2 linked regions of the Caenorhabditis elegans genome follow. The protein of the gene in region 1 interacts with the protein of each later gene in a pairwise test. Each region holds a gene or a part of one and is shown in the gene's direction. Other genes may lie near its edges.

Evidence for each region.
Region 2: the proteins of cfp-1 (region 1) and hpo-9 interact in a two-hybrid assay, tested with the Caenorhabditis elegans proteins (one large-scale study listed by BioGRID).

Annotation. Positions count from the first base shown.
Region 1 is NC_003282.8:14,075,515-14,083,657, forward strand, and holds cfp-1 (CXXC-type zinc finger protein 1), read left to right. Parts: upstream 1-1,926; 5' UTR 1,927-1,935; coding exon 1,936-2,104; intron 2,105-3,171; coding exon 3,172-3,455; intron 3,456-4,634; coding exon 4,635-4,985; intron 4,986-5,914; coding exon 5,915-6,225; intron 6,226-6,450; coding exon 6,451-6,656; intron 6,657-7,304; coding exon 7,305-7,510; 3' UTR 7,511-8,053; downstream 8,054-8,143. Other genes in the region: ccar-1 (SAP domain-containing ribonucleoprotein), read left to right, coding at 1-547, 609-841, 894-1,091; F52B11.2 (putative phosphomannomutase), read left to right, coding at 8,054-8,125. UniProt on the Caenorhabditis elegans protein: Transcriptional activator that exhibits a unique DNA binding specificity for CpG motifs; enriched at promoters containing the trimethylation mark on histone H3 'Lys-4' (H3K4me3).
Region 2 is NC_003283.11:7,234,420-7,239,113, reverse strand, and holds hpo-9 (BTB/POZ domain-containing protein 9), read left to right. Parts: upstream 1-1,983; 5' UTR 1,984-1,987; coding exon 1,988-2,102; intron 2,103-2,151; coding exon 2,152-2,937; intron 2,938-2,985; coding exon 2,986-3,283; intron 3,284-3,501; coding exon 3,502-3,614; intron 3,615-3,661; coding exon 3,662-4,095; 3' UTR 4,096-4,192; downstream 4,193-4,694. Other genes in the region: Centriolar and ciliogenesis-associated protein hyls-1, read right to left, coding at 603-835, 1,029-1,183, 1,234-1,404, 1,460-1,556; C05C8.5 (Exonuclease domain-containing protein), read left to right, coding at 4,301-4,388, 4,440-4,577, 4,623-4,694.

The DNA of each region.
Region 1 (8,143 bases):
AGGGATGAAAAGAAAGACGAGAAGAGGGAGGAAAAGAGGGAGAAAGTCGAGCGAATCGATCTCAAATCAGTTGTTGCCAATCGTACTGTATATGAAGCCTTCTCGCTTTTTGATTCAAACCTTTGCGGTTATTTGACCGAAAAGGACATTGAAGAGATCCTCTACAACGGAGAATTCGGAATATCCAGAGGTCAAATCCAAAAGCTCGCCAAGAAGTTGTCAGTCCGAGACAAGATCAACTACCGTCACCTGACTGATGTTCTAACCGATATGGACGGAAATGTACGGCATACTCCAGGAGGAGCCGATGATGTAGTGGAGACTGACGACTTGATTCGAGGATTCGGTTACAATTTGGCGAAGAGCATGGAACCAGCTGATTCGGGAGCGGCGGTAAAATCATCGGAAGTTTCTGCTTCGTCGGATGGAGTCGTTATTATCAATGGATCAGCGGTGAATGTTGTGCAGAAGATGAAGCTGCTGAAGCAAGTTGAAAAGGAGAGAGATGAGGCGAAGAGTACTGTTAGTGAGCAGCTTTCATTAATCGGTAGGGATTAAATATAATTGTTTTTGTTTTTAAAAAAATTCTTTAATATTTCAATTTTCAGAGCAACTTCGAGAAGCCAAGGCTGAAATCGACAAGAAAAAGAAGGACATTGACTCTCACTACCACAAGTCCAACAAGAAATTGAATGAGACAAGTGCTCAGCTGAAGTCCACTCAAGATGAGAATTCTGCTCTGAAACAGGCCCTTCAAGACTGCAAACGACATGCTGATCGCATTTTTTCTGTAGTTGAGAAGGTTATGCCACCACCACCAAAGAAGGAGGAGAAGAGCAAGGTAATTCTGAAAATTTGGTTAATTTTGTTTTAAAAGTAATAATTTATTTCAGAAGGACGAAAAGGAGAAAACCGATAAGAAGGATGACAAAGTATCCGAGAAATCCGCTGAAAAATCAACTGAAGAACCTTCTCAAGAAGTTCCAGCGAGTGCTGAGCAGGCTGCTGAGCCATCTACAGAAGCAGAACCAATTGTTATTGATGAGTCTGAGGATAAAGACGCAGAAGTTGTGGAAGAATCCAAGGAATAGAAAAAACAAATCTCTCCCTCTACAATTAATGATCTATTTTTTTCTTCTTTTTTTTGGTTTTCTTTAACTTTTAAATGTTGTTCTTTAAATGACGTCCCGTAAATAACCATAATATATCTAAATAAATGAAATATATATATTCGTGATATTGTATACTGTTAGGATGGTTTAGAATTCCATAAGTTTTATCAGATTTTTCAGATTGGCAGCAAATGGTGATCCGGAAAATGAAAATATTTTCCGATATTTCGACAAAAAAAATCAATTTTTCCGGAAAAACTTGATTTTACCTTTTTGAGAAGAAAAAAAGATAAAATGTTGAATTTTTGTTAATTTTTAAGAAAAAAACTTGTTTTTTCGGGAAAATCGACAATGTTCAATGAAAAATTCGATTTTTCGACCAAAAAATTAGAAAATTGCGTCATTTTTCGTATTTTCAGGCAAAATTTGATAAAACATTGAAATTTTCCCCTTTTTTCCAAAAATTCTCAATTTTTTCTCCAATTTTCCGGAATTTCGAAAAAAAAAATGTATTTTTCCGCAAAACTAGCTTCAAATTTTGACCATTTTTCGTATTTTTTAGAGGAGAAAAAAAAATATTTTTCTGAATAAAATTAGCGAAATTTGATCAATGTTGGGATTTTTGTTAAGTTTTGTAAATTTTTGAGAAAAAATTGCGTCATTTTTCGTATTTTTTGGCTAAATTTGTTAAAAAATTGAAATTTTCCCCTATTTCCGAAAAATTCAAGATTAAATCGACGATTTTTCGCTAAAAAATTGGCTTTTTAACCATTTTTTTTTTCGTATTTTTTGGCTAAAAATATGTTTTTTTTAGATGAGCAGTATGTCAAATAAAGAAATCGAAGATAATGAGGATGTATGGAAGGAAAGATGTATGAATTGTATTCGATGTAACGATGAAAAGAATTGTGGAACATGTTGGCCGTGTCGAAATGGAAAAACTTGTGATATGCGGAAATGTTTCTCAGCGAAAAGATTATATAATGAGAAAGGTTTATATTTGGAGGAAATTCTTTTCAAAAATTGATTTCTCTGAGCTCAGTTCTAGTGAGGCAAAGTGCATGGAAACCTAGGCAACCGGCAAAAGCTTGTAGCTCACCTGCTTCCATGATAAATTGCGGATTTTCGGGCATAAAATTTAATTTTTATTCGTTTTTTTTCCATTTTTCTACGTCATTTTTAACGAATTTTCATCTTTTACAATGTCTGCGTCTCCTGCAGGCGATTTTCGAAGGCATTTTCAAATAACATTTTTTTATTTTACAGGTGGAGTACAGAAATTTCGTTTTTTCAACCAGAAATTGCCGAAACTAACGTATTTCCTGTAGAAATGCTCTGAAAATTTCTCAAAAAAAGGTTATGGAACTTGAAAGTTTTGGAAAAAATACCTATTTTAAGCTAAATCTCAAACTTTTTTTGGCAAAATTTGAAATTTTTGCTGAAAATAGGCTTTTTTCCCAAGTTTTGAAGCCCCTTAACTTCTTTTTTCAGAAAATTTCAGCGCATTTCATGAAGAAATTCGGTAGTTTGGGCGATTTTTGATTTAAAAAGCAAAATTTCGTCATTTCACCCTTAAATAGACTAAAAATGGCTTGAAACTACCGATTTTAATTATAAAATTTCTCTGAAAATTTCCCAATTCTTCTAAAATCTGAAATTTCGCAAATTTTTTTTCCCACAATGGCTGAAATCCAGCTTCTTAAGAAATTATCTCAATTTAGCGTATATTTTGGTAGTTTTTTCGCATTTTTTTTTTTGAGAATTTAGGCACATTTTTAGGTCGATAGGCATCTGGCTAAAATTGATGCCTATAGGCTGAAAACGATCCTAAATCAACAAAAAAATGCGATAAATGGTGAAAATTTAATTTAAAATATCGGAATTTCAGTTGCTAGAAAAGGGAAAAGTTGGCAAAAATTAGAATTTTTAGTAAAATTTAACTTTCTTTTCAAAATTTAATTTTTTCGAGAATTCTCATCACGAAATTCGGTCTTTTCCGGTCAGTTTCAGTCTTTTTTTTTAACGAAAAAAACCCTCCATTTCAATTCAATAATTCCAGTAAAAAGACAAACCGACGAAAATCTGAAGGCTATAATGGCAAAAACAGCACAACGAGAAGCCGCTCATCAGGCAGCCACAACCACAGCACCAAGTGCTCCGGTGGTAATTGAGCAACAAGTTGAAAAGAAGAAGCGAGGACGAAAGAAGGGCTCTGGGAATGGAGGAGCTGCTGCTGCTGCACAACAACGGAAGGCTAATATTATAAATGAACGAGATTATGTACCGAATAGGCCGACGAGGCAACAGTCGGCTGATTTGAGAAGGAAACGGACACAGTTGAATGTTAGTATTTATTACTGTGGAAACTGTACAAATCCGAGGATTTTGCAGTGTCGCACAGAAATAGCGGAGGCGGAGCGTAATTTCGCAAGCCTGCGGCACGGTTTTTCCTCTTTTTTTGTTGATTTTTTGCAATAAAGTTTCGATTTTTATCTCTTGTTTCGAATAAAAATGTTCTTCAATGCGATTTTTGAGAATTAACTTGGTTAGCATTTTAATTCGAAAAAAGACGGTAAAATCGAAATTTTATCAAAAAAAAATCTACAAAAAAGAAGGAAAAAACCGTGCCGCAGGGTAGCGAAATTAGGCTCCTCCTCTACTCCTGTGCGGCACTGATTTTCACGAATCGATCGTTTAATTTGTGTATACAGTTGAATGTGAGACTATTACTGCTGAAACTAAACAACAAAATCCGCGAAAATCCGTGAATTTTGCAGCGGCGCACAGAAATAGAGGCGTAGCGTAATTTCGGAAGCCTGCGGTACGGTTTTTCGAGGCACCACGTTTTGAAGACCTGTTCAAAAACAAGATCCTCCAAAACAAGATCTACGTTTTCAGGATCTGGCACCGTGCCAACTGCGGTTTTCTCGATGAAAAACGAAACAACGATGCTCCGATGTTACGCGTTGTTTAGCGTTCAGAAAACTATTTTTGAAATTTTCTTCTAGAAGATACGCTAAACAACGCGCGACGCGTAACATCGGAGCATCGTTGTTTCGTTTTTCATCGAGAAAACCGCAGTTGGCACGGTGCCAGATCCTGAAAACGTAGATCTTGTTTTTGAACAGATCTTGAAAGCGTGGTGCCTCGAAAAACCGTGCAGCAGGGTTGAAGTTGAATGTTAGTATATTACTGTTGAAACTGAACGATCAAATCTGTGAATTTCGCAGCGTCGCACAGAAATAGAGGCGGAGCGTAATTTTGCAACCCTGCGGCACAATTTTTTCTCCTTTTTTCGAATAAAAATGTTATCCAATTTTTATTCTCATAAAATATCATACGAACTAAATTGGAGACACATTTTCTGTCGAAAAAGGAGGAAAAACCGTGCCGCAGGGTTGCAAAATTACGCTCCGCCTCTATTTCCGTGCGGCGCTGCTTTTCACGAATTGATCGTTTAATTTCTACAGGAAAAACCTGCCGAACTAATTAAAATTGAAAAAAAAAATCAATTTTTTCCAGGCAGAACCCGATAAACATCCTCGTCAATGTCTCAATCCGAATTGTATTTACGAATCTCGAATCGATAGCAAATATTGTTCCGATGAGTGTGGAAAAGAGCTCGCCAGAATGCGGCTCACTGAAATTCTACCGAATCGCTGTAAACAGTACTTTTTCGAGGGCCCATCCGGTGGGCCGCGCAGTTTGGAGGACGAAATCAAGCCGAAACGGGCTAAAATCAATCGAGAAGTTCAGAAATTGACGGAATCCGAAAAGAATATGATGGCATTTTTGAATAAGCTCGTCGAGTTCATAAAGACACAGTTGAAACTTCAACCGTTGGGCACAGAGGAGAGATATGATGATAATTTGGTACATTTTTGGCTCATTTGCTCAAATGACAAAAAAAAAATCGCCTTTTCGCTTCTTAAATTCACAAAAAATTGTTTTTTAGCCGAAAAACTAACAAAAAACCTGTTAAAATTGTCATTTGTCGATTTACGTAGCTCGTGTACTCCTCGAGGAGAAGTTTGTCTTAATTTTGCACAGGATTTCCTTGATTTTGGACTATTTTCTACGATTACTCTGGAAATATCGTAATTTCACAAGATTTTAACTTTTCAAAGGCACACGGATTTATTTAAATGGGTCTCGATGCGAAAAAGTTTATGGTAGCTTTTTTGTTTCATTTTGCAATGAAATTACCTCATTTTTAGCGAATTTTGCCGTTTTCTTGCCATTTTTCTCTTTTTTTCAGGCCAAAAAACGGGAATTTGCACATTTTTTAATAGAGAGAAGCTTATTTTTGAACTTTGCAAGTTGATTTTAAACAATTTTAACAGAAACAATGAAAAGAAACCCAAAAACCCGTTTTAGCGATTTTTTCCGTTTTCTTTTCATTTTTTCCATTAAAAATTGTTTTAGATAAGTTTCAAGGTACAAAAAATCTTTTCTCCATTAAAAATGTGTCCTTTCCCCATTTTTCGGCCTGAAAAACAAGAGAAATGAACGAAAAGTACAAAATTCGCTAAAAACGAAGTAATTTTATTGAACCATAAACTTGTTTGCGCGTCGAGACCCATCTGAATGAATTCGTGTGCCTTTAGGAACTTGAAATCTTGTGAAATTATCAAATTTTCAGTGTAATTGTAGAAAAGAGTCCAAAATGAAGGAGATCCTCTACAAAAATTGATGCAAACTTCTCCTCGAGGAGTGCACGAGCCACGTAAATCGACATATGGCCGTGTTAGAGCTTTACACGGTCATTTTCATTAATAAGTAAAAAAATTCAATTTTTTCAGTACGAAGGCTGTATCGTGTGTGGTCTCCCGGACATTCCCCTCCTAAAATACACAAAACACATTGAGCTGTGTTGGGCTCGAAGCGAAAAGGCAATCTCATTCGGAGCACCGGAGAAGAATAACGACATGTTTTATTGTGAAAAATATGATTCGCGAACGAATTCTTTCTGTAAACGGCTGAAATCTCTGTGCCCAGAACATCGAAAACTGGGCGATGAACAGCATTTGAAAGTGTGCGGTTATCCGAAGAAATGGGAAGATGGAATGATTGAGACGGCGAAGACAGTTTCAGAATTGATTGAAATGGAAGAGTTAGTGGAGAATTTGGAGAATTTTTTGATGGCCGAGGATCCGACAAGAGATTTAGAGCTTTTTTTGCTCGTTTTTGCGTGAAAAATTGTGAAAAAATGACCGAAAAAAAAGAAAAATTCGGGAAAAATAGCAAAAAAATCGCTGAATCTTGTCAGATCTTCGACCGTGGCCGAGAAAAACCTCGGCCATTCAGCAAATAAAATTGCAAATCAATCAATTTTCAGCCCATTCGGTGAGGAAGGCTGTCGAACGAAGAAGGACGCGTGTCACAAGCATCACAAATGGATACCATCGTTGAGAGGAACTATTGAGCTGGAACAAGCTTGTCTGTTTCAGAAAATGTATGAGCTGTGCCACGAGATGCACAAATTGAATGCTCACGCCGAATGGACAACGAATGCTCTGTCGATTATGATGCACAAACAGCCGAGTACGGAAAAATGCTCATTTTTTCTGCGAAATTTTGCGATTTTCGCGCCAAAATTACGGTGGCCGGTCTCGACACGACAATTTTTTGTTGGGTGCAAAAATGTGTGCGCCTTTGAAGATTACTGTAATTTCAAATTTTGGTTTTTTTTTAACTTTTTTATCGGAAAACTATAAAAATCACTGGAAATTCCGCTGCAACTAAAATTTAAAGTTCCAGTAATCTTTAAAGGCGCACAGATTTTTGCAGTTAGCGAAAATTTGTCGCGTCGAGACCAGGCACTGCATTTTTCGCACAAACTGCCCCGTGTCGATTTACGGGAATTGTGTACTCCCCGAGGAGAAGTTTGAGAATTTTACAGTTTTTGTCGAAAAGCTTGAATTTGGACCAATTTCTCTAATTTTTTTTGTATTTAACGGTCAAAAAGCCGAATTTGCTGTTAAAAGCAACTGAAAAAAATTAAAAAATTGGCGATTTCACCGTTAAATATGTTATTAATCAGCAAAAAAAATTCAAAATCTGGTTTTTCCAGGGAAAACCGCTTCTGCTCGAGGAGTACACGAGCTCCGTAAATCGACACATATCCCGTGTCTGAATGAGAAAATCCTCAAAATTTCACAGATTTTTAAATCTAAAAATGAAATTTTACAGATATTATTGATTCCGAGCAAATGTCCCTATTCAACAAGTCCCAATCCACGTCATCATCCGCCTCGGCTCACGGAGCAACGACACCAATCAGCTCAACATCATCATCATCATCATCATCATCAAAAAACGATGATGAAATGGAAGATACCGCCGAATTTCTAGCAAATCTGGCTGTACAGAAGGAGGAGGAGACGCAGAATAATTAAAATTTCCCTATTTTTTTTAGTTTTTTCCTCAAAACTATCATATTCTTTCATTTCCGTGGAATTTCGTATCTTTTTTCCAAATCTGAACAACATTTTTTTCTGTTTGAATAGGTGTCGTCCTGAAATATGGCGGAGAGAGAGAGAGTGAAGAGACGCAGACACTCTAACGACACGTTGCGTATATTACACGAAGCACTGGCTTTTTCATTCGTTGTTCTTCAAAATTTTTATGATTTTTATCTTTTGAACAAAAAACAAATTGAACTTACCCTTCTTTATATTATTATTTTATTTATTTTCTTCTAGTTTTCCAAAAACCTTTTTTTGTTCTATTTTTTGTTTCACCCAATTTCTCTCTATCGGTGTTCTTCATTTTGATCCTCAACTATTCACTCATCTCTCTTTATACATTTTGGTCTCTCTCTCGAAGAAAATTGACATTAAATGTATTATTTTCCATTTTCCGAATTTTTCAACAAAAAACTTTTATTCCAAAAAAAATCCTTAAAAAATTTAAAAAAAAACACCAAAAAAATTTTTCAGATGACTTCTCCAGCGAGTAGCCGAACAATTTTGGTGTTCGACGTCGATGGAACACTCACTGCTGCTCGTCAGGTTAGTCTGCGAGATTTT
Region 2 (4,694 bases), on another chromosome or scaffold:
AGGACAACATTCTAATGGAATGGAAACAATTGCCCGACTGCACCAATTCTAGTTCAAGCGAACAATGATAACTTTTGTATTCTGTATTCCTTCACGTCTCCCAGCGAGCGTAATAAATTATTATTATTATTATTATTATTTTTTGAAAATATTTTGATTTTTTCAAAAATGTATATAATTTTTTAAAGATTTGAATTTTCCACAAATTTATCCATTTTTTAAAACATATTTTTGTTTTTTTTCCAAATTTTAATTTTTTTTTACTTTTTTTAGATTTTTTAAAAATTGGCATATTTTTGAAAATGTAAAAAAAAACTTTTTAATCTTTTTTTTTTTGGAAATACGATTTTATCAAAATATTTGATTTTTATTCTATTTCATTCAGTCTATATTGTTGGAAATATTTTAATTATTTCGAAAACTTTTTTTTTCCAATATTTTCTTTCTTTTCAAAAATTGGCATTTTTGATACTTTGATTTTTTCAATAATGCCAATACTTTTTAAAGTATTTTAATTTTTTCTAAATCAAAATTATAAATAAAACGTTCTTCCATCGCTACTACACAGTCACGACACTCTCAAACTGAATAAAATGAATTACTTGTAGAAATGATATCTTGTGACCGGATCATATTTTTTTGGTGCTCTTCCTGGTTCAAGTGACAACACATTCCGAGTCCAAACTTCTTTTTCCGGTCGTGAAGATTTTTGAAGCTCTGATTGTTCAGTTTCAGTGCTTAACCCCACGGAAACTGATTCAGCGATATTTTCCTCATCATCCACACTTGATCGTTCTTGTATGTCGCTGCCATCCAGTGATATTGATTTAAGAGTCTGAAAAAATATTTAAAACTTATTTTTTATAAAATAAAATGCACAAACATCTGAATCTTGACGTTCGGTTGGCTCACAGGATTCAATTTTATTATTTTTAGACTTTTTGAACATTTTCCAGCTTAATCTATGGAAAAAATCTTGAATGGAAGTCAGCATTTTTCAACAAAAAAAAAAACGAAAAAGTCAAAACCTCTGTGGCACCATTGCATGTTTCCATTGCACGATGTATGCTTCGCCACGCTCGATCGACCAGAAGGTTTCTCTCAGGATACTCGTTTGAGCTTTCATCGTCGAAATCGCTTTGTAACTCTACATTTTCGTAGATAAACCGTTTTCCTTGTCTTTCTGAAAAAAAATCACAGATTAATTGAAGAAAATCTTAAAACTTAACTCACTTCTAGAAACAATTGGGGACTGAATATTCAGATTTTCGGTTGGAAAATTTCGTTCTTGTCGTATGAATTGAGCGGCTGGATCAACTGATAATGAAGCAAATAGAGATTCATTCATAACGTCTTCATCGGCATCTGACAGACAAAGCTCTCGGTCGAGTAGATTATCAATTTCTGAAGAATACGATCTTTTATATTGGATTTAAATATTTTAGGAAAAAAAACTAACCATTCTTGAAAGTTGCAAATTGGTTTTTGTCATGTATATGGTGACCCATTTGATGAAGAATATCTTCGAGCTCGTTTTCAGTGGTAAAATTTGCCATTTTTCCTTGAAGCCAAATGCTCGATGAAGCGTGTTTTATGAACAAGGAGGAAATGACGTACACGTTAAACTACCCGTAACGTTTTGAAAATATTTTTGAGATTGTCACAATGATCTGATCAGTCACAAGATGGTGGGGTTTTTCTGTAACAACAAACAATATTGTTCGTGCAAAAAAAAAACAAATAAAAAACAAAAAAGCAAACGTGCTCTATTGAACGCCAGAAAGCGCGCCAGGTTCAAATCTTAAAAAAATAGCGCGCGCGGTGCCATTGCAAAACAGTGCGCCCAGATTGCCAAACATGACTCCGCCCATCATTCTCCTTGTTAAAAACTTTTCCGAATTTTCTAATTTTATCCCGAAAAATTAAATTTAAAATAACTTTTTTATTAAAATTCAATAATTAATGATAATGACGGGTTTTCAGGTACATGAGCGATAACCATGCTTTTGGGCGGCCGATTCAAGAAGATGGACGAGGAATTGTCGAAACTATGAGAACAGAATCCGCCGCCATTTCCAATAATTTTAATGCGGTGAATAGCGGTAAGTCTCTAAAAGCAGAAAAATTGACCAAAATTAGCTATTATTTCAGTTAACAAATCTGTTGTACAACATCTTGATGAGCTTTCACAAAGTTTCGATGAGATTTTCACTTCAACAGACCACTCCGATGTAACTCTTGTTCTCGACGATGGAACTGAATTTGCTGCCCATCGTTTGATCTTGGCTGTGAGAAGTAGCTTTTTTCGAGCTATGCTCTATACAGGTTTTCAAGAAAGCCATCAACAGCTTGTGACTCTTCAGGAAACGAATTCAGTAGCCTTCCGAGCTGTTCTTCGGTACATGTACACATCGAAAATCGATTTTGCCGGAGTGGAACTGGATATTTTGCTAGAATATCTCAGTCTGGCACATCGTTATGATTTAATTCAGCTTATGACAGCAATAAGCGAATATTTCAAGGAAATTTTGAAGAATGAGAACTTGTGTAGTATTTTCAATGCTGCATACTTCTTTCAATTCACTGATCTTATAGATTATTGCATGCAATATTCTGATAAACATGCAGATCAGCTTCTCGAAGATCCCAGCTTCAACCGATTATCAGGAGATAGTCTGAAGGAGCTTCTTGCGAGAGATTCATTTTTTGCATTAGAATTGAAGATCTTCAATGCGGTACGTTCATGGCATCAGAATAATCCAACAATGAAAGAAGCATCAAAAGTTTTGCTGGAATTGGTCAGACTTCCCCTTATAACACAAACCGAACTTCTTAATTGTGTAAGACCAACTGGGTTGGTGTCAGCTGATACTCTTCTGGATGCTATAGAAGTTCAAACACAAAGACCACACGAGATTCCATTCAGAGGATGCAAAAGTGAGTTGAATTTTATTTATTTTCTGTTTAATCTATTCCATTTTATAGGCCTCGACACGAATATAATTCCACACTATCCACACGCACAGCCATTGTCACGAGAGCTCAGCAGTCGCTACACTAATGACGAGAATATTAGTGTATTTCAAATTGATCTCGGAAAACCATTCATTATCAATACAATTATGATGGATTTTAACTGGAAAAATGAAGTTCAAGCATTTACATACCAAGTTCACGTTAGTATGGATAATCGAGTTGATGCTCATTGGAATCTAGTTGCTGATTACTCGGAATATGATTGTCGAGGAACACAAAGACTCTTCTTCACAGATTCTGTTGTGCGGTAAGTGATTGATTTTATTGTAAAATCCATTGCATTAATAGTAGAAATTCAAAAACATTTCGGCGGTTTTGGAACTAACGGGCGAAGTTTAATTGATCTATTTTTTATTCATTTTCCGAAACATTTAAAACTTTCGAAAAAAAACTACAGCGCCTATAGTAATTTTCTACAGAAAACCCGTGAAACTCGAAAATTATTCACCATAATTTGCATTTCAGGCATATTTTGATCCGAGTCAACAATTCAATGTCGTGTAAACTGGAAGGAAGTCGAATCGAAGCCATGTTCTCTACCGAAACAATGCCTGTCGAACCTGTGCACAAAGTCATAGGTATCACATTTTGCTGTGGAAATGTAATATAATTTCAATTTTCTCAGTTCCTCATCGAAACATCACAACGATAGAAAATCACGCACGGGTTGTTGAAGGAGTTTCTCGATGTCGGAATGCTCTTATCAACGGGGATTCCTCATCCTACGACTGGGATACTGGATACACGTGTCATCAAATTGGAAGTGGTCTCATCATGATTCAACTTGCTCAGCCCTACATTATATCTTCAATGCGAATTTTGTTATGGAATTGTGATGATCGATTCTACTCGTATTATGTTGCCGTATCGAAGAATCAAGACGAATGGGTTACGATTGTCGACCGCACCAATGAAGAATGTCATGGATGGCAAGAACTCATATTTGATCCTCTTCCAGTTGTGTATATTCGACTTGTTGGTACCCGGAATTCCATAAACGAAGTCTTTCACGTTGTACATCTCGAGGCTCCCTCAAACGTTCCAATTGCCATAAAATAAAACCGGGTTACAGAAATATATATAATGCATTATTTCACTTAAATGTCTGATGAAAAATAAGTTATTAAATTTATTGAATAAAAATGTTAATAATTTCTTTTGAAAAAAAACCACATACACGGACGCCACACACCGAAAATAAATTTATTTTTTTATTTTCTTTATTCTTGAAATTCTAACCGTTTTTTTCAGATTTTTGAGAGGGATGGCGAAGCGAGAACTGAGGAAAAGTCTCAAATCAGAGATAGAAAACCTATTCAAATCACCAGAACAAGCAGAACATGAATTTCAATGTAAGGGGAATAAATAAAAAAATAAATTCCAGGAAAAGAAATTAATTTCAGGTGCAACAAAAAGACGTCGATTAACAAGCTCTGAAAAACCAACCAAGTCTCCTAGTACAAGTAGTGATGATCCATCCAAGCCAAAATTAGAGTTAAGGCTGTCCCGACTAGGTGATGGCCATCGATTAGACTGCGAAAGTAATAATCCACTTTAAAATCCACAATTTTCGCATAGTTTTCCAGCTCTGGCTCAGTTTATTCACTTCAGCATATTTGGATCATCACTCCAAAAGCCCAGATGGGTCAGTCTATCCC